3 linked regions of the Arabidopsis thaliana genome follow. The protein of the gene in region 2 interacts with the protein of the main gene of each other region in a pairwise test. Each region holds a gene or a part of one and is shown on either strand. Other genes may lie near its edges.

Region 1 (4,991 bases), on a different chromosome or scaffold from region 2:
GGCCTATAATCTTGCTCACGATGCCGCTCAACTCCTTTACGATAGATCTAGGCCTAAAAATATGCTTCAATTGTACTTTAAGCGTTTAACTTTCTCACGATCTCTCTACAGCACCTTGACAATGAAGACAAGAGCTATAGAAAATGGAACCATTGTGACCTTAGCCTGAAGATTCTACACTACGTCACTACCGTTGGCATTTTTTTTTTTTTTTTTTCGATGCCTTCTCCGATCATCTTAATCAGGGGAGAGACCGAGAGACCGAGAGAACCGAGAACTGGCGACTTGGACTTCTTCACTGGTTACACGAATGTAGACATATACGATTTGGTTCGGTTTAACGTCGGCTCCAATTTCGTTCAACGAAATAAAAAAAAAGAACCTCCTTTTCGGGTTTTTGTTTTGTTTGCTATATTTCCATTTTTTTTGGGATTTACTCTTTGCTTTTAATGTACTGTAGTATAACACGATTACATTAAAGAACATATTGAGATCTATCTTTATAGATCTAAGTTGGAAAACAAAGAATTCACAAACACTAGATTACAAAACACTTGTTTTTTAGTTTTTTCCTAATCAAATTAAAAGTTAAAACCACTGCTTTTGGTTATAGGCTTTCAATAATCTTTCTCTTGCACCCGTATGCAGTGGCAAATTCGGAAAAGACAAAAGAAAAAAAAAATCTAAGAATAACATATTGAAAGAGGCACATAGGATTTCAATGATAGCATGGGAAAGCAAATACACGTGCAAGAGCCATGTTAATTAAGTAGGAACTAGTAGATAGGGGTTGGCGGAGGCCAGTAAGGGAAACTAACGTTCTTTAGTGGCCTTACACTAGTGTAAAAGGTAGAGCAAGTTTCGGTGGTGAGATCATAAACACCAAAGTTATTGCCAACAAAATAGATGCAGTTAGGCTCGAGTCCACACGACGTACTAGCCGGGATGCAGAAAGCCTCACTATGTCCAAGAAAAATGCAAAGATCTCCAATGTGTTCTGTGTAGATCATAGTCTTCTTCTTTTCGTCAGAAGCCTCATTTGCTCTAAACACCATGAACTTTTTTGTTACGTGCATGGGTGTATTGTCGCAAAGGTCCTCCACGTCCTCCACGAACCTGCAAAGACATGATAGAACCAATACGATTCTCAAGCCAAAAAACCACCAACGAAATGAAGATATATTGTAAATATGTTATGAGAGATGTCTAGTTAATTAGATACTATACCACTTGACGAGGAAAAGTTGGCCGGTGGGTGACTCCACAAGGTGATCTGTCTTGGAACATGAACTCACTCCCGCCAACTGCTTAAACACCGACTCTGGAAGATTTTCATAATCCAAGTCGATGAAGCTGGGTTGCCCATTCTCCTGCCTAGAGTTGAAATGATCATCACCCTCCTTAGAGTTGAGATCCAAGTAGCACAAGTAGTTGCCTCCGTAACTTGGAATGTAGAACCTTTGATCTCTCTTGGAGAACATGAGGCTAGATAAAGGGTTTATACACTGAGACATGAATTTCATGTTGATCCATTTAGAGCTGCCAAAAGGCCTGCAAAGACTAACCCGAGATCCCGATAATTTGACACCCACTACCCAATCTTTATCTTGAACAGGTATAGAGGACATGGCTAGGTTATGGATTTTGGTACCGGTGGGTACAGAAGGTAAATGAATGGTCAAGTTTTCTAGTTTGGGATTGGAGGTCTCATAAGTGATCACAGGTTGATGGTCGCTGCTTCTGTACGAAAGATAGAATTTTAATCCATCACGTAAAAATCCGACAGTCATCGCCTCAATGACCTCCTTCTCGAGTTTCTTGTCCTTAATAGTGACTTTTGTTGCCTTTCCCTTTGAAGAATCGTCGTCGTATACTATTACGCGACCATCCGAAGAAGAATTTTGGATGTTAGTGATGTATTCAATCAATAAAAACGGGTAGGCTGGTTCAGACGACAAGAGTTGAGTCACTTTAGTCTCGTCATCCGAATCCCACCCGCTTGTGTGAGAAGTTGTAGATGAGAACATACGAACAACATTTTTGTGTCTCTGCCATATATATGTTCAAGTAGTCAGAGACGATATCAATAACAAGAAGAAGTTAAAGAAAAATGAATTTATTACTTAGAAGCTTAAGAGGAAGTTTTTGCAGACAGAGGGTTTAAAGACTCGGCTGATTATAAGCTGTGCCATTGTTGAACTTCTTTAAGTGTTTTCGTCTCTTGTATAATCTGTGTCATTATTGTACTTAATACTAATAAGAATATCCTTGCTCAGCAAGTACAAGACATAAATGAGAATATTTAGAAATTCCATAAATAGCTCGTTAAAATCTTATTATAATTTTTGTTTTTTTCTGTGGAATTTGTTGTTCAATATTTGTTCCCAAAAATTGTTTTATTCATAAAATCTAAAATCATTTCCTAAAATCAATGCATACAAATTACTCTATATTCTACCCTTTTTTTTTTAATTTTTCGATATGTTTTTAATTGAAACAGAAAACTTTTCATGCAACCACGTTCGATTTTTTTTTTTTTTCTTTAGCTTAATGGGCTTATGGGCTTCTACGTTCTAGAAATTTCCTACTACACAAAATATCTTTCGTTTTATCCAAATTCCAAAACAGTAATAAGATTATAAGAACAATAAATATCTTATCCAGTAACTAACGAACGTATATCCCAATTATTGTGAACATCACCACCGTCAGATCACGCCCTTATCATTCATGACCGTCAGATCCTCATATTTTACATCACACGTGGCCGTGACTCTTTACCGGATAACCGGATTGTCTCTTCTTTAAAACCGTGCCCAAGCGACTCGTGAGTGAGACTCGCTCTAAGACCCAGTTTGACTCGTTGATCAACGAAAGGTAACGACAAAACTCTGATTTCCGATTTCATTACTATGAATCGATTCGAATTTCTGAGTTTCTGACTTTGTTTCAGTGTGAGTTTGAGGTGAAAGATGACGGCGACGATAGATCGGAGGTTATCAACGCTGAATCCAAACGCGCCGGTGTTTGATCCGGTGGAATTTCGTGAGGTGGAGGATTTTTCACCGAAATGGTGGGATCTAGTAACGACTTCGAAATGGTTCCGTGACTTTTGGCTCAGTGCTAACTCTGAGAATGAGTTCCTCGGCGGCGACGATTTCTCAGTTATGGAAGAAGAGTTCGAGGAGATGATCGCATCGTCTGATGGTGGATCCATGGCTGATACAGTTACAGGTAACGATTTGTTTACTGTTTTGAAATTAGTTGAGATTTAGGGATTCGAAACATTCAGATCTGAGGATTTTTGTGTGTTTTAATGGCAGAAGCAGATGTGGCTAGTTATTTGAAGATGCTTTTGAACATAGCGGAGTCTACGAAAGAGAAGATTTATAGATCGAAGGTTTCGTCTTGTTCACCAAAGTATAATCAGAAGAAGTACATGAATCCGAACTTTAATTGTCGCCGGAATCATCATATCTATCAGCCACGGTGAAGCTTCTAGAAGGAACAAAGCTCTTCTTCTTCTTCTTTCGAGATGATAATCAGAGTCGTGTCTGTGTTTATGGCTGAATCTGATCTTTTCTGCTTTCTTGTTTTTTGTAATTCTGTGAATATTCCTACTTTCTATAATAACATCACTTTATGTTATGAGCATAACCAAATTGAAATCGAACCAGGTCGAATCGAAATGTTTGGGTCGGTTTAAAATGGGATTGTATCATTTGTCTTTGGAAACCAAATCTAACAACAATATTGAAACCGGTATTAAACACAAACCAAACCGAAAATGGGTATTAAACACAAACCAACCCGAATATGGTTAGAGTTGAGCTAAAACTTTACCATGCGCATATGAAGATAATGATGTCATAAAAGTTGGAATCCAATTTATTTTGGATAACCTTTAATTTGGTTGATCAAACAATAATTTTTTTTATATTAATTACTATGTTATGTAAATCATTCAAAGGAGCACTTGATTATAATTTTGAAACAACTCCTTTGTTTTGTCCTCATTCAAAGAAAAAAGGGATTAACAATTGGTGATATTAGCGTTTTACGAAAAGAAAAAAAAACATGTTAAGAGCAAATGTTGTCGTCTCTTTGGTTATATTTGCAGCTCTCATGCAATGTGTGGCAGTGTGGGTATGTTTTCTTTTACTCTTTAGTACTAATACTATATTGTTATATTGTTTTCTGAAATTTTGTAAATTTAACAATCATTTTTTTGGGGGTTAAAAGTAGGATCCGAAAAGATGAATGGAAAAGAAAACATTACGCCATGGATATACAGTATGAAGCAGCCGGTGTCGTGTAATAGAGAACATTCGGAAATTGGAATATGTCTTTCAGGTATTGATGATGATATTCAAAACGATGGAAAATGCTGGAAATTTTGCTTGATGGTTGCGAAAAGCGGAGGTTATAATGCAGACAAATAATCATCCCAGAAATTATACAAGTCTAAAATATAACGCATGAGACAAAAGGATTATTTTGTTGTCTAAATAACAGTGCAAATTTCATGTTTCTTCCCTTCTTTTCTGTATCAAATTTTTGAAAAATCTATAACAAGAATGGATCGCATTTTTACCACCTAAACAAAAAAAAATCGAAAATTTCATAAAAATATAATAATCAAAATATACCACCTAAACGTTTGTATGTTTAAGTCTCTCTTTTTTTTTTTTTTTTTGGGAACTGATGGTTAAATGGTAGGTCTATACCAATTCCAACACATGCCAAATTAATTCGAAAATCAAACAAAAACCAAACCGATCTAAGTTTTGGTTTAGAGTTCAAACAAGAATATTACGACAACGGAATACTGTATGTTTGATATATTTCACAAAGAGATACAGAGCATTGTTTATATTGTACAAGTAGTAGGCGTGAGCCTCAAGATTATGCAATAAGTATAATTTCCTAAACTAGTGAATTGGAATATTGAGGAATGAATGAGCATCTAATCATATCTCTCTAGCTCGACA
Region 2 (7,749 bases):
TTTAAATAAGATTTTATATACTTTAAAATAAGAACCATTCTTATTCTCTTGCCTTTTCTATTATTATTTTTGATTAATTAATATTAAAAACTCACCATTGAAGATGCTCTAAAACATAGTCAACTTGGTTTTAAAAAAAGAAACTAAAAAAAAAGATAAATGTTTATCTGTTGTTGCTTGTTGTTTGATACAACATGTCTCCTCTGATATGAGTTACTTTTAATATGCAGGAACAAGAGGATTGGTAGAACGTTATATGAAACAAGAGGTATGAATATTATATTTTCACTTTTCTCACTCACTACTTTTCTCGTATTTCATTTATTGTTTTTTTTGTATGACTAGAAAGTCGGAATTCCAAATTAATAACATGGTTTTTTCAAATGATTTGACTATACCGTAAAGCAACTCAAGTTTCAACCATTTGTTCGAACTTGTTCTCAAAACTAGTTTCACCCCGAAAAATAATGGTTTGTAAAGATATGGGCAGAGAAAGAAAATTGAACTTGGAAAGAAATTGGATTAGACATCACTTAAAAATAGTAAATTTGTGCTAAAAGAAATTTACTGAAAACATTGCTTAACTTTCTTATTTACATAACATCCTAGCATTCTTCAACTAATGATAACTATCACTTTATAGAGAAAGAAAATAGACAACATTATCACAACATTGACATAACCTCATAGGGTCACGGCTTCACTGCTTTCACGGCTTCAAATGGATTTTAAAGCCTTTGTAGTATTTTTTTTGCCAATCAGACTTTTTTCACTTTATTTTTTTTGGAAGTTTTTAAAGCTTTTTTTTTTCTTTTTCCTTTATTTTTCTTTTTGAAAGTCACGTAAATGAGGCTTTTAAAACAAATTAAAAGCTTTTCGTTTTCTTCTCTAAACATAATTAAAAGTTCTCTACAAATTACATATTTCTTTTTTCAAAACGTTTTTGATTAATAATTATTATCAAGTTACTAATTTTTTTTTAAGATCCATTTCACTAATAATAATTTTATTTTTTATCATCAACACTAATAAAGTTAGATGTCATTTCATTATCATTAATAAATTTGTTGATTTTATGATAAGTCAAAAAAATCATTCAAAACAGTTTTGAGAAAAAAATTTAGCCATAAGAATCATTCAAGATGAGTATTTTAATTATTAATGTGTTTGGATATTAAGTGTTTGGATATTAAGTGCATGAAACAATAAATATAAATAATGCAATGTTTGGTCTTTTAAAAATGAATGAATAATATATATTTTTAAAAATCAGTAATAAAGTTTTATTGTTACTAATAAAAAATAACAGTCACAGCTTCTACAACTTTGTTTTACCAATCTGATTTTAACAGCCAAAGTCTTTACAGCTAAATTCTTTGTACCTCAAATTTTTAAAGTCAAACCTTCTAAAGCCAAAAATAACGGTCGTTACCAATCTGTTAAAAAAATTTACCTTCTGAATTAGCATAAACTGATTTCGGTATACCATGTTTCAATTTCTTCTGACTGAAAATAGAAGAGATGATATTGTTATTACACATTTCACGCTGAAGAGATACTAAAAACAGTTAGAAAGGCAAAAAGAGTTATGTTCGATCGACTAATTTTAAATTATGCAAGATTGGGCCCAATACAGGCTAGAATTTCGGTCCATAATTTTCCAAGACATCAAGAAACTGGTTCACAAGATTTGTTGGCCCATTTTTAATTATCTACTATCTTTAGCCTCTATTATCCTTGACTGAGGTATGAAGTTGCAACATAACGATTTCGAAACTTCTTAAAACTTTTCTCATAACGCAAGCTAGAAAAGGTTTTTTAAAAAGTCCCCCATGTTTTTAGTTTCATGCATTACATCACATATTCACATGTATGTGGAGAGATAGATAACCAAATTGTTAGATAACTGCATGTTATTTAAAATTTTATGTGTTCTTTTAGAAAAAGAGCACCATTTTATATTTTTTGCAAATTAATCAAAAACTTTACAACTTCTTAGCTATTTTCATAAATTTGCATGGTCATTCAATGGTATTTACTAATAATAATTAAATATGTCTGAACGAACATATTTTTTTTTGACAGTTACTACAGCTATTTCATATTTTATCCTTTTTATACAAAAATCACTTCACTTTCTAATTTACCTTGCAGAAAATTTACTACAGTACATACTAATAATTTTAACAAATTTTCTTAAATAAAACATCACTACACTTACACTGATTCTTGTTTTTCTAATCTCATTAGTAATTACTCCTCATTAGTCTGAATACGGTTATATATTTTTGAGCACAAATACTTTTGCCCAATAAAATAAAATAAAATGGTAAGATATTTCCCAACGCATATTTTATACAAGTGTGTGACCCACAACAAGACACACTACAGTGTAAATCCAACGGCTGAGATTTCTCAAATTACCATCAAAGCTTTTAGGGTTTGGTGAAACCTTCCATATATAAACACTGAAACCTCCAAGTTGTCTTTCCTCTTTGCAGTTTTTTTTCATTTGAGCTTCTCTCTGATAAGGTCACTTCCTCTGACCCTTTTATCTAAGCTCAACGCTGCAACTCTCGCCGTCGGTTACTTCCCCATTTTCCTTCCTTCTTCCGATTCAAAGACTCAATTTTTATTCTCCGGCGTTGAGGATTCATCTCCTAAAAATCTCTGCTTTATCTTTTGATTTGAGCTGATTTGGAGAGGAGAAGAAGATAGATAGATAGGTAATTCGGATTGATATCTCGAAAAATGGCTCAGATTCAGCATCAGGGTCAAAATGCCAATGGTGGTGTAGCTGTTCCCGGTGCTGCTGCGGCTGAAGCTGCGGCGGCTGCGGCTGGAGCTGCGGCGGCGGCTGCCGGAGCTGCGCAGCAAGGGACGACGTCTTTATATGTCGGTGATCTGGATGCGACCGTGACGGATTCACAGCTGTTTGAGGCGTTTACCCAAGCGGGTCAGGTGGTTTCTGTCCGTGTCTGCAGAGACATGACGACTCGGAGATCTCTAGGCTATGGCTACGTTAACTATGCAACTCCTCAAGATGGTAACTTTCTTAAGGCTTATCTGATTTGGTAACTTAGTCGTTGTAGCTCATCTGAATTTGGGGTATGGACTGATGTGTTATATCAAATGCTAATCTAAATTTGGGAGCTTTCTATAAAAAAGGTGAAAGCTTTCAGGTTAATTTGGAAAGTGGTTACATTTGGTAACATTGTGGGCTTTCAGGGTATTTGGCTGTTAGGGAGGATAGTTTTCTTTTGAGGTCATAGAGTTAGAGTTATGACCTCAATGTTATGAGTAGACTCAATGTTATTCTTCTTACAGAAATGAATGATTTGAGTTATGTTGATGTTAATATTTCTGATTGGTGACAGCTTCCAGGGCACTGAATGAGCTGAATTTCATGGCTCTTAATGGAAGGGCTATAAGAGTTATGTATTCTGTTCGTGATCCAAGTCTCCGTAAGAGCGGAGTTGGTAATATATTTATTAAGGTACATATATTAAATCTCTTTTTCCTATTGTCCAAGTTTGAACTTCTATGCAGAGATGGAAAGAAACCTTGGCTTGTTTAATATCCTATCTCAAAGTTTGTTTGTTTATTGACATGGTTTATTATCTGTGTCTCAGAATCTTGACAAATCAATTGATCACAAAGCACTTCACGAGACATTTTCAGCCTTTGGTCCCATTCTATCTTGCAAAGTGGCCGTTGATCCCTCTGGTCAGTCGAAAGGCTATGGGTTTGTGCAGTACGACACTGATGAAGCAGCTCAGGGAGCCATTGATAAACTGAATGGAATGCTTCTTAACGATAAGCAAGTTTATGTTGGACCCTTTGTTCACAAGCTGCAGAGAGATCCTTCGGGTGAGAAAGTTAAGTTCACTAATGTTTATGTCAAAAATCTCTCCGAGTCCTTGAGTGATGAAGAGCTTAACAAAGTTTTTGGAGAGTTCGGAGTGACTACTAGTTGTGTTATCATGAGAGATGGTGAAGGAAAGTCTAAAGGCTTTGGATTTGTCAATTTTGAGAATTCTGATGATGCAGCCAGAGCTGTTGACGCTCTAAATGGAAAGACCTTTGACGACAAGGAGTGGTTTGTTGGGAAGGCCCAAAAGAAGTCCGAGAGGGAAACTGAACTCAAACAAAAGTTTGAGCAAAGTTTGAAGGAGGCTGCAGACAAGTCTCAGGGGTCGAACTTATATGTTAAGAACTTGGATGAGAGCGTCACAGATGATAAGCTCAGAGAACATTTTGCTCCCTTTGGAACTATTACATCATGCAAGGTCCGTGACTGATACAATAAAAAGCGCTGCTTGTTACTATCTTCAGCAGATTTGCATTAAAATGTATTACATTTGAACGTGACAGGTGATGCGTGACCCCAGTGGAGTGAGTAGAGGATCTGGATTTGTCGCATTTTCAACTCCTGAGGAAGCAACTAGAGCTGTAAGTGACTAGAATATAAAGAAGACATGTCAAATTTTGGTGATCTCCTATTCTCTGGAAGGATCTTGATGCTTAACACTGTCTTCTTTTCAATGTTTCAGATTACAGAGATGAATGGAAAAATGATCGTTACCAAACCTCTATATGTTGCTCTTGCGCAGCGGAAAGAAGACCGCAAAGCTAGGTTACAGGTCTGGTTAATTTACCCATGTTGTTATCCTTGAAAAGGATTATCCTAATCCCATGCTTATCGTGCTTAATTTGACCTCTCTGGCATTTTAGGCTCAATTTTCACAGATGAGGCCGGTCAATATGCCACCTGCGGTTGGTCCTAGGATGCAAATGTATCCACCAGGTGGTCCACCAATGGGTCAGCAACTCTTCTATGGTCAAGGGCCTCCTGCTATGATTCCTCAGGTAAAGCTCAAAGCTTTAAGCATAAAACATTTGAGACCAATCTTTATAACTTTCTTCTCCAACTGGGTATCGAACAGCCTGGATTCGGATATCAACAACAGCTTGTACCGGGTATGAGACCTGGTGGGTCTCCAATGCCAAACTTCTTCATGCCTATGATGCAACAAGGCCAGCAACAGCAACAGCAGCAACAGCAGCAGCAGCGACCTGGTGGTGGTAGAAGAGGAGCTCTTCCACAACCACAACAACCTTCTCCTATGATGCAGCAGCAGGTTAAGTTTTGCTTTAGGCCCAAGACTTTCTCCACATGTTTAAAATCGATAGCATGCTTACATTTTGCATCAATCTGTTTCTCTACAGATGCATCCAAGAGGTCGAATGTATCGGTATCCTCAGCGAGATGTAAACACAATGCCTGGTCCTACTCAAAACATGCTTTCTGTTCCATATGACGTCTCAAGTGGTGGTGGTGTGCATCATCGTGACTCGCCTACTTCTCAACCTGTTCCTATTGTAGCTTTGGCTACACGGCTTGCGAATGCAGCTCCAGAGCAACAGAGAACGGTAAAGTCAAATGATTTGTTTCTAACAGCTCGGAAACAACTAAGAAAAATGTGTCTTTCTTAAACCTGTTATGTTTCTTCGTTATACAGATGCTTGGTGAGAATCTATACCCGCTTGTGGAGCAGCTGGAGCCAGAATCCGCAGCTAAAGTCACGGGAATGCTTCTTGAAATGGACCAAACCGAAGTACTTCACTTGCTGGAATCACCAGAGGCACTTAAAGCTAAAGTTACAGAAGCAATGGATGTTCTGAGGAGTGTAGCACAGCAGCAAGCGGGTGGTGCAGCTGATCAGTTAGCTTCTCTGTCTCTTGGAGACAACATCGTACCTTGAGAGTTCTAAGTTATATCTGAAAGAGCTCAGTTTATATACACTGTAAAAGTGTTTATTTTGTTCTTTTGGAGAATCAGAAACAGAGTTGTTCTTGAAAGTTTTGGATTTTTGAGTTTTTGTTTTGGGCGAGAGTTTTAACATTTTCCTTCTGTGTTTTTGATTTTCTTAATACTTTGGGAAGTTTTGTATCGTTACTCTCACCTTTTTTTACCTACACTGCTCATTTGATAGGGTATTGTTTGGCTTTTGTCTAGAGTTTCGACTTTTGGGTATAAAATTTGGTTTAAAAGCTTCGAATGATCAATGTAACAATAAGTTTACAGGGCTTTTCTAGGAAATTATTCTTGCTTCCGAAAACAGACTGGGAGAAATCAAACGGGCCTTGGAATAACCTTATCGACTTAGTTACTGAATTGGCCTTGGCCTGACCATAACAACCTATATCTCATCACGAAACTTGGCCTTTGCTTGGTAAAGTTTAAGCTCTTGGTTTTGATGAGATAAGGTCTCTAGCCGAAAGTGTTACATAATTCATAAGACCCATGCATGTAGTAATATTTGCATTCACATACTTGACAATTGACATACTCGAGTTTTGTTCCATATTCTTCATCGTGTTCTTTGATGGCTGTTTCTATGAGAATTTGAGCAGCTCTTCATTGCTCTGTTTATCATCTATAGATGGTTTCCAGTCAAAGTTAACAACAGATAACACGTAGTTAAAACTATCCTAGTTCACATCAAAACCCTCGCTATCTTCAAATTGTTTGTAAAAAAGCTTTCGTTGTCTCCTACATTCAAGAAGACCAAACCTGGTGGCAGAGGATCAATCTCCTTTGCATCTTGGGAATCGTTGGAAACAGCCGTATAGTCGAAACTATTAACATCTCCTTTCCTCTATTGATTTGAATTGAGTTAGAATTGCAATTGTCTAACATACACTAGAAATTCGATAAATTAATAAACTCTTTAAACTAATTAATTTTGCCAGTCCTAAATTGGACCAATATAAAAATTAACTAAAATCATAAAATATATATATATATATATATTTTTAAATCTCTATGTAAAAATATGGTCTCAATAATATCATAAATCTTAAGCATACATTCTAAAATAATCTAATATAAAATAAGTCTAATGTTGTTTGTCTTTTCTAAAAGTTCGAATCTCGTTGAAGTTCATCTCTAATTTTCTTATTACATCAAAAACTCTTGGTGTTGTCTTCTCGATCTACATCCAAAAATTGTGAAAAATTGTAGATGCGATAATTGCTTCCTTACGTGTCACTATTTCCAAAAATTCTACATTATCGTCTTCAACTTCTTTACCAACATTACAAACAAAAGCTATAATTTCTTTTAAACTATAAACTTCTAAACATGCTTTATTTTCACCCGAATAATCGAGTAGGATATTGATATCAATTCTATTTCGATAACCAAAATTGTTAATCATAACTTCAAATTCTTGAATGTGATTCTCAAAATCTAAAGAAAAATAATTTTTTTTTTAACATAATGAAATATGCAAACAACAAAGTATAAAAAAATTGAAGTAAAAAAAAAATTAAGAAATAATATAATATTATATTTTGCGTAAATATTTCTATAAATTAACAGATGAATTATTCCAACGTTATTAATTTATGGAGTTTTTACTGTATATGATATCATCTTATTACTTATACGGGCCTAAATGCTTTTCATGTTATCCATTTTAGCAGAAGAGCAGTTGAAGTCATGTATGGCAAAACAAAACCTTTGTATATATGAACTGATCGTCCCAATTAATATCATTATCATTTTGACATTCTGCTACCAGTATTTAGAAACGAGCAAATTTTTTTTTTCTTTTTTTTTTTCAAAGAAACAAGTAACGTTTAGAACAAAATTTTTTTCCCAAACTAATTATATGATGCATATAGTTTTGTTCAAATATTTTAATGTTTTTGTACTATAGATTTATTTTTGGTAAATGGTAA
Region 3 (8,607 bases), about 12 Mb from region 2:
TACTTTTCTGATTCTCGACTTCAAAATCCTGTTCGTTTTGTCAGCGTGGCACACTTTTTGGAGTCACGTGGCATGACAGAAGATGCTCTAGAAGTAGCAACTGATCCTGACTACAGATTTGAGTTGGCCATACAGCTCGGTAGATTGGCTGTCGCAAAGGTTAGTCTGTAGTTTTTACCATTTGAGAAGCTTTATTTCCATGACTTACCGATATGTTTTTACTCGATTCTTATTTTTTGACAGGACATTGCTGTAGAGGCACAAAATGAATCTAAATGGAAGCAACTTGGAGAATTAGCTATGTCAAGTGGGAAGGTGACCATTTTTTAGCTGCAATCAGTGTTCTAGGATTCTTACAAAGGTTAAAGCTAACATGTATTTTTCTTTTCATTTTCCTTCCCATGCTTGGACTACTTAGCTGGATATGGCTGAGGAATGCATGAGGCATGCTATGGATTTGAGTGGTCTGCTGCTGCTTTATTCTTCATTGGGAGATGCAGATGGAATGATGAAGCTGGCAGCACTTGCAAAAGAGCAAGGAAAGAACAATGTCGCTTTTCTTTGCTTGTTCATGTTGGGTCAAGTAGAAGACTGCCTGCATCTGTTGGTGGAAAGGTACATTGTTTACTATTTCTTACATGTGGAACATATATTCCCGCAACTAATTACGTCTATGCTGATATTAATATGGTTACAGTAATCGAATACCTGAAGCCGCTCTGATGGCGAGATCGTACCTTCCAAGCAAGGTCTCCGAAATAGTGGCATTGTGGAGAAACGATTTGACCAAGGTTAGTGGTAGACACATCCGATGCACCTTGTGATTGAATTTCAAACCTTGCCTGTTGAGATATCCACAATTTTTCTTCATCCTCTGTCAATCTGGATATAGATAAGTCCAAAGGCTGCTGAATCTCTGGCTGATCCCGAAGAGTATCCCAATCTCTTTGAGGAGTGGCAAGTCGCCCTGTCCCTTGAAAATAGAGCTGCAGAGACGAGGTATCTTTTCGTCGTTGCCGTCATTAGCTTATTCTTAAAAACAGTGCTTATGAGGAAACCTTTTTAATTGAATTGTGGGACTTAAGCCATTTAGAGTCATGTGTCTGTATTACATAGCAAGGTAGCCGTCATGTATTTGCTTATAATTTGAATTTATACCCGTATAAACATAAGCCGAATGTCGATTTCATTTTTTCAGGATCCTCATAAACAAAGTATTTTTGTTGACTTATCTTGCAGGGGCGTCCATCCTCCTGCTGGGGATTATTGTAGTCATGCAGACAGAGATCATACAACTTTAGTGGATGCTTTTAGAATTATGCAAATAGAGGAAGAGGGTCGACTTGAGCAAGGGGATGTTCTCGACGAGGTATGCATGTTTACATTACATGCATTGAAGAGGATTGTCTTTTACCCATGATATCCAATCCAATGGTCTTGGCCATGGTGGACAATGGTAGGATCATTAATTCTACTGTCGCTGCTTCATTTGTTGTGAACAGGTTGGGGAAGAGGGGGAAGATGGAGAGGAAGAGGAGGAGGAGGATCGTCAGGAAGAGAGTAGTGATGGGAGACAGCAGAATGTGGAAGAAGAGGCTGTTGTGGTGGACGCTGACTCTACGGATGGTGCTGTGCTAGTTAATGGTAACGAGTCTGAAGAACAGTGGGGTAAGATTAGTGAAGGAACCGCATCAGCCTTATAGCATTTGTGGTTATCAATTGATTATAAGATGTCGCTGCACCAAAATATCCTTTTGCCATCTGCACATATATCATAGGATTTGCGTTTGCATCTGTCCATCAATGTTTCCTCATCTGTCTGCCTCCCATCTTCGTCTTACTGATCATCTTACTTTTGATGTTGACTGTCTTTTAAATAGTGCTTCTCTATGCCATTAACTTTTTTATCAATCCGTGGACTGATTAAATATTTGTTTGTTGTACAGTTCTAACACCGCCACAAGAGTAGGGTTGGTGAAGAGTGAAGACATACACAGATAGATATTTTCTTGGCTTTGAAACTTGATACATTCAGCAGAGAAATGAGGCAGCACAGAGAGAGATTAGTTTCCATTGTTAAAAAACTGATCTATTGATAGCTTCCGCTTTGTGCTTTTAATACAGATACATATTAAAAAAAAAGGGGGTTTTGGGACTCTTATGTAGCTTTAACTTATGAGAGATTTCACCTGTAGAATATCTGTTTTGAACTGAGATTTCACCCATATAATATGTTTTGACTTTCGATTCAATAGGTTATGTAGTTGATATCTTTTTTTTTTTTGCAAAACTCAATAGCAGTAGCAAAAAACTTAATTGGAAATAATCAAAGTGAAGGGATAAGTTGGGAAAGAGCCAGAGGATAACGCATGGTGCATTATTATTAGTATTGTGGAGGAGACGCATCTCGAAACATCTCTCAAAGCAAACAAGGACCCAAAACAAAGTTCCTTGCATTCTTCCACTGTCCGTAATCACCATCACCATATCATTATTCTTCTACCCATTTTGTCTTGGAAATGATTTTAAATTTTCTTGTTGCTTCTTACTGCAAACTGTGTATAGGTTCAACTACTCCATTGAGTTACACACTTGCATGCACCTATGGAAGTTAATTTTCCGGTTTTGATTGATATTCAAGTTGTTGACCAATGGAGTTATATACCCTTGATTTATATAGAAACCACATGTTTTATTTATATTAACATGGTCACTTTTGTCAGGATTAATAGACAACAATAGTTGAGAGAAAAAGTGATAAGGTAGAGCTAATTTGTATTAAACTTATCAATTAGTATTGTTGGTTAAAAAAAAGTTAATAAAGTAGTCAAGTTGGATAATTCCCAAAAACTGGGAAAAAAGAACTCAAGCGTCAAATGTTGTAGGTGCATCATCATCAGTCTACAAGTAGTAAAAAACCCATTCGATTTGATAAGAAGACCCAACGGAAAGAGTCTTCCCGTCTACAAAGTAAACCCAATCAATCTTAATAATCTTTAAGAGGTTTTTTCTTATTATAATTATCTATCTCTCTATCTATCTATCTGCGGATCTCTCATGAAGAAACACTGAGGAGATTCTCTCGCTCTGATCTCCTGGTATCGTCGTCTCTCTCCGTAGAGATATACTAGTTTGTCCCATATCCGATTGATTGCTCTATTCAATTTATTCCTCTTCTAGGTTTTCGGTTTGGCCCTCCGATTTAGAGGGATTGATGGCCCCTGATGGCGTTGAAGACTCCGACTATGAGAGTGATCCCGACGAGTTGAACCGCTCCTTGGCTACACGGAGGAGAGAAGCCAGCGATGATGATGAGGATGATGAAGAAGCGGACGACCATGATAAGCTGCGAGCAGCAATCCAGATTCATTCCGATGAACACAGTGGTGTTGTTGTTGTCGACTCTGATGATAATGAAGGATTGCACATAGAAGATAGTTATGGTGATGATGACGACGAAGAGGAAGATGGTGATTATGGACAAGTTGATGACCATGTCGAATACATTGCGGATAATAATGACAAGACAATTGTCGCCGGCAATGGGACCGATGACTCTGCCGCCACTGATCTTGTGGATGGAGAGGAACAAAAGAAGAAGGAACCTTTTGCAGTGCCTACTGCTGGAGCTTTCTATATGCATGATGACAGATTTCAGGAATTGGATGCCGCCTCTAATAGGTAAACTCTTTTTGATTCTATGAGGAGGTAGTGTTTTGTCCAAACTATGCAAATGTATCTATCTACTATTGAGGTAGAGTACATTGATAGGTGAAATTAGCAAACGACTTTCCGTCATTCAATCTCATGATGTACTTCAGAGTTCAGATAGATTGGAACAACTGCTTTGGTTTTATGTTTTAACTTTGATTGTGAATCTTTATGTATGAATCTACCCGAGATGCCATCACACTGCTATTTTTCCATTTAACATTCTGTTTAGTTACATGGTAATGCCAACCGATATAGGTTTTCGTTTTTTATTTCTGTAGGCGAATGCGTGGTGGTAGGAGGCTCTGGCAATCCAGAGATGAAAGAAAGTGGGGACATGACAAATTCGAGGAAATGAATACACAGAAACAGCAATATGATGTACTTTTCTCTGATCATCTCTCTTTCTCTTTCTCTCCTTTTCATAAATATATTTGTATTCATCGACTTGTTTCCTCTTGCTGTGTTTATACATTTGCCACCTCTTTTTTCTTTTTCCTTTTTTTTTTCCTTTTGAAAGCTGATTAATTAAACTTGTGAACATAGAGGAGGACTTCGAGAGGCCGAGGCAGAGGTCGTGGTCAGGGTAGGGGTCAGGACCGTGGACAGTCTCGGGGGAACAATTCTAAAGAATTTACTGGCAATGGACACCAAAATCAGTTTCCGAAGGCTGTCACGAGAGGGAGGGGGGCCAGAAGATATGAGGTTGCATTGAGAAATGGGAATCAAGCACCTTCTGTGCAAACCAAACAGTGAGTCCTTAATTTTGTTTCCTCTCTAGTCAACACATGAAGGCTCTAGGTCTCTAATTGTTGTGTCTTTTTACGGAATCTTTAGGTCCCAAAATTCGTCTGTGGAAGTGTCACACGTTGATTTAGGGCGTCCACCAACAGAAACAGCTACCTTAGAGACTGAAGCCATCCAAGCCAAAAAGAATGTATTTGCTTCAAGTTTAAATTCAGCTTCTCCTCCATTTTATCCTTCAAGATCCAACAATAACTTGGCACAAAAGGATGTACAAGCTGGCATGGGTAGGCTGCACATTAATGAAAACCCTAATCCGACTGGAAAGAAGTTTGGGAATACAAAATCCAGCTCCTTGTGGGGACGCACTGCTCAGACTACAAGTCATGGTAGAGGTGTACCTCCTCATGGGCAAGTGCTTTACCAGCAATCTCCTAATCAAGGTGACAAAGTTTCTTCGCCGATGCAAATCCGTGGAATGCCTAAAGGCACTGACCAGAGCTGTACTCAACTTCCTGGTCAGGTTTTTAATCAACATTCGGCTGTTATCAGTTTGCTGCCTTCTTCTCCTCCAAAAACCGGATCATCAGAAAATCCGTATCTTTCTGGTGAAATAGAGTCAGCCGTAGAAACAGGTGCTTTGGTTGCCAAGGGAAAAGGGTCTCTCCAACCTAGTGGAAGGGGATCTTTTATGTATGGAGGGACACAGTTTATGGGCCCTGCCGGGATGGCAGCTGGTCACGGCAATCCAAATTTCCCTGCTTTTCTACCTGGTAAGTTGTTCTTGAATGTCATTGTTCATCCTACATTGTAATGGTTGAAAGACATCTTTCAGAATCAATCTATGCATGCTAGTGAAATTGAGAGCTATTGATGCTGAGCCGCTTGGCCTGGTTGCCCATGTCTAGGGCCGCTTGAGAACGGCACCTTTTTGTACAGGTGCTAATATGCACGCCTGACTAGTTTAAACTTGTTTGTTTTCATTTTCATGTTCAGTTATGCAATTCGGTGGTCAGCATGGTGGGGTTCCAACTTTTGGAATGGCTCTTCCAGGTTATTTCCAACCAGAACATGGTACCGGAAATCCTGAGATGACATGGTATGCAGTTCCACAGCTATGTTTTAAAAGTTATATATTTGGTGCATTCTTAGTTGACTTGCTGCATGCTTTTGTAATTTGAGAGGATGTTTAATCTTGTAACTAGTCTTTTACTAGCCCAAACAGAACCTGAATTATTGCTTTCACTCGTCTGCTGTTTGTTTTTTGTTTGATTTCCCTATTTCTCTATCTATAGTAGGTCCTTATTACTGCTATTATTTTCTTAAATTATTGACAGGCTGCCAATTTTGGCTGGCCCTGGAGCATTAGGGGGTTCATATTGTCCACCTTATACTGTCCTTGATGGTTCTTACCAAGCAGACAAACCAGGGTTACCTTCCTCTGCCGGATCGTCCAGGTTTAGAAATAATTTTCTCAGTATTGTTAATCAACATGTCATTTCCATATGCATATGTGTAGACTCTTTGCTTTTTACCTTAGAGGAAGAGTAGTATGGGAATGCAGCTTTAAGCCCTTAACTAAGTAACGTATGTGAGATTTTAGATTTGTGGTTCCTCTTATTCTAGACCCACTGCAAAATGCTTGTTACCTGTTAGATTTACATTTCTTAAGTGCTTAGATTAGTAGTTTCTCGACTATGTACACCCAGAAACATGTAGTTTTCATTAAACAGACTCACTTTCTTGGTTGGGCACTCATGTAACCATGTCAATCATCTCTGATTATGAGCGTCTAGTAAAGCATATAATTTGAGCTCAAGTACCCAATTACCTTATATTTTTGATTTTTTGTTGCAGCCAAGAGAACAGTTCCAATAATCCTAATGATGAAGAGCCCATGGAGAGACCTGGTAAGTAATAACTCTTGCCAATTAAATGGGGTTGTTATAATGGATTCAGAAGATTTTGTTGTGTTTTGGCGAATAAGAAATTTGAATGATTACATGGAGAGACTGATTCGTATGGGGGTTTATTGATGTAGAGGTTACGAACAATGGGAATTCTCAACGGTCAAATAGCAACCCAAACAAGCAGCCTCGTAGGTGAGTTTTGAAGCAATCTAGTTTATTTATCGGTCAGTGTTAGTGTGACGTGAAACCACCTTGAAATCAAAGTACCACAGGAGTAGTTGGATACAGATATTTGTGGAAATGAAATGTTAATATTGGTCCAGGATGAAATGAAACACTAACGAGCACATGTTGACGAGGGATGTGCAGATACTCGGAGATGAGCTTTAGCAAGTGAGTAAAGAAGAGTGGAAAGGAAGAAGGTCATCTAATTTGACTAAGTGGAGTGAAAGGAGGAGGGTGAGAGAGAAGAGCTCCTTAGGAGCAGCAGGCCCTTGGTGCTTCTCCAACTGCTTTATGAAGCCGTTTGGGCTGCTATTATTGTTACCTATTTTTATTAGGTACGCAATTTCTCTCAAGATACCAATTGAAGAGAGGTTTTAACCACATTATAATTTGAACTTGTGTTTGCTGTTTTGTTTTCAGGAGGTTGTTGTGCAATTGAAAAGAATTTTTGTTTTGTTTTCGTTGTTATGAGAGCTTGAGCTTGAGCCGTGGGCGTCCTTCATCTGTAATTTATTCTTTTGTCCGTTTGGGTTCAAATTGATATTTTGTAATGTTGATATGTGTTATTCTGTTTTCGTTTGTCAACTTCTTTATCAAAAGTTGTGTGCCCTATTCGTACGCCTGCGAAGTCCCCCCAAGAATTGCCCATGTTGAGTTTTGATGGTAGTTAGTTGTCTATGTTTTATATTTTACGCAAGGGGATAGTGGTGGTGCTCAGTCAAATTTACCCGATTCGTGAGAAATGAGTCATTGAGGAATTGTTACCATATATATAAAGACATGCCTCCGCTCTGGTTATTTAGTTATGCGACAAAAACAAAACAGACCGCATAGAATAGATGCAACAAACCAAGTGTATAGAAACTTTATTCCTTGGCGCAGCAAAAAAAAAAAAAGGGATAGAGTCTCCGTTGATTCAGGTAGCTCAGCGTCCTCTGAGATGAAACGATTGTTGTTGTTTGTTTGTTGATTTTAGTTTTTAGTTTAGTGGAAGATGATCGGTAATAGCGTCTACATCTCACCGTCACCGTCACCGTCCGACCACTCTCTCTCGCCCAACCCTAATCTCTGCATCTCGGCGGTTGGTTTCTACTGTCTTCCTTTCTCTCTCTCTATTTACTACAAATTTTGATTTCAATTTGGGTTTCCGATTTCGATTTCAATTTTGAATTTGATGGTCTTCAGATGGAAGAGCAGCTGGTTGTTGATGATGATGATGATGACCTTGCTCCTCCTCCAATCCCTGATCTCGATATTGACCTTGAAGATGATGATGACGCCTGTTGTCACGGCTTGCTTCATATCGCACCTAATCACGAAGAAGAAACTGGATGCGACGAAAACGCTTTTGCTAATGAAAAGTGTTTGATGGCTCCTCCTCCTACTCCTGGAATGGAGTTCGAGTCCTACGATGATGCTTACAGTTTCTACAACTCATACGCCCGTGAGCTCGGTTTTGCTATCCGCGTCAAGTCCTCCTGGACTAAGCGTAACAGCAAGGAGAAACGTGGTGCTGTCTTGTGTTGCAACTGCCAAGGTTTCAAGCTGCTTAAAGATGCTCACTCCCGGAGAAAGGAGACCCGCACCGGCTGCCAGGCCATGATTCGCCTTCGACTCATCCACTTTGATCGATGGAAAGTTGATCAAGTCAAACTCGACCACAACCACTCCTTTGATCCTCAACGTGCCCACAATTCCAAGTCTCACAAGAAATCCTCCTCCTCAGCTTCTCCTGCAACTAAGACAAATCCCGAACCACCTCCCCATGTCCAAGTCCGGACTATCAAATTGTATCGAACCCTTGCCCTTGACACACCACCCGCTCTTGGAACTTCACTCTCTAGCGGGGAGACCAGCGATCTCAGCCTTGATCACTTCCAATCTTCAAGGCGCTTGGAGCTCAGAGGGGGTTTCAGGGCCTTGCAGGATTTCTTCTTCCAAATTCAGCTTTCCAGCCCCAACTTTCTTTACCTCATGGACCTTGCCGACGACGGGAGTCTCAGGAATGTCTTTTGGA

Evidence for each region.
Region 1: the proteins of PAB8 (region 2) and AT4G14270 interact in a two-hybrid assay, tested with the Arabidopsis thaliana proteins (one large-scale study listed by BioGRID).
Region 3: the proteins of PAB8 (region 2) and AT1G80000 interact in a two-hybrid assay, tested with the Arabidopsis thaliana proteins (one large-scale study listed by BioGRID).

What each region holds. Positions count from the first base shown.
Region 1 is NC_003075.7:8,215,545-8,220,535, forward strand, and holds AT4G14270 (polyadenylate-binding protein interacting protein), read left to right. Parts: upstream 1-2,538; 5' UTR 2,539-2,877; exon of another isoform or gene 2,878-2,953; 5' UTR 2,954-2,972; coding exon 2,973-3,234; intron 3,235-3,323; coding exon 3,324-3,493; 3' UTR 3,494-3,763; downstream 3,764-4,991. Other genes in the region: AT4G14260 (hypothetical protein (DUF295)), read right to left, coding at 777-1,116, 1,228-2,027; AT4G14272 (Defensin-like (DEFL) family protein), read left to right, coding at 4,078-4,134, 4,257-4,442.
Region 2 is NC_003070.9:18,413,989-18,421,737, forward strand, and holds PAB8 (poly(A) binding protein 8), read left to right. Parts: upstream 1-2,486; 5' UTR 2,487-2,751; coding exon 2,752-3,046; intron 3,047-3,377; coding exon 3,378-3,496; intron 3,497-3,632; coding exon 3,633-4,289; intron 4,290-4,374; coding exon 4,375-4,452; intron 4,453-4,553; coding exon 4,554-4,643; intron 4,644-4,734; coding exon 4,735-4,869; intron 4,870-4,946; coding exon 4,947-5,141; intron 5,142-5,229; coding exon 5,230-5,433; intron 5,434-5,522; coding exon 5,523-5,765; 3' UTR 5,766-6,123; downstream 6,124-7,749. UniProt on the Arabidopsis thaliana protein: Binds the poly(A) tail of mRNA. Appears to be an important mediator of the multiple roles of the poly(A) tail in mRNA biogenesis, stability and translation.
Region 3 is NC_003070.9:30,089,981-30,098,587, forward strand, and holds AT1G80000 (CASC3/Barentsz eIF4AIII binding protein), read left to right. Parts: upstream 1-2,826; 5' UTR 2,827-3,214; coding exon 3,215-3,681; intron 3,682-3,992; coding exon 3,993-4,092; intron 4,093-4,257; coding exon 4,258-4,463; intron 4,464-4,548; coding exon 4,549-5,228; intron 5,229-5,451; coding exon 5,452-5,554; intron 5,555-5,792; coding exon 5,793-5,912; intron 5,913-6,312; coding exon 6,313-6,365; intron 6,366-6,496; coding exon 6,497-6,557; intron 6,558-6,688; coding exon of another isoform or gene 6,689-6,698; exon of another isoform or gene 6,699-6,734; coding exon 6,735-6,762; 3' UTR 6,763-6,925; intron 6,926-7,010; 3' UTR 7,011-7,343; downstream 7,344-8,607. Other genes in the region: AT1G79990 (coatomer subunit beta-2), read left to right, coding at 45-159, 244-315, 419-615, 698-791, 893-999, 1,240-1,369, 1,503-1,668, 1,947-1,969; FRS8 (FAR1-related sequence 8), read left to right, coding at 7,585-7,671, 7,776-8,607. UniProt on the Arabidopsis thaliana protein: Core component of the splicing-dependent multiprotein exon junction complex (EJC) deposited at splice junctions on mRNAs.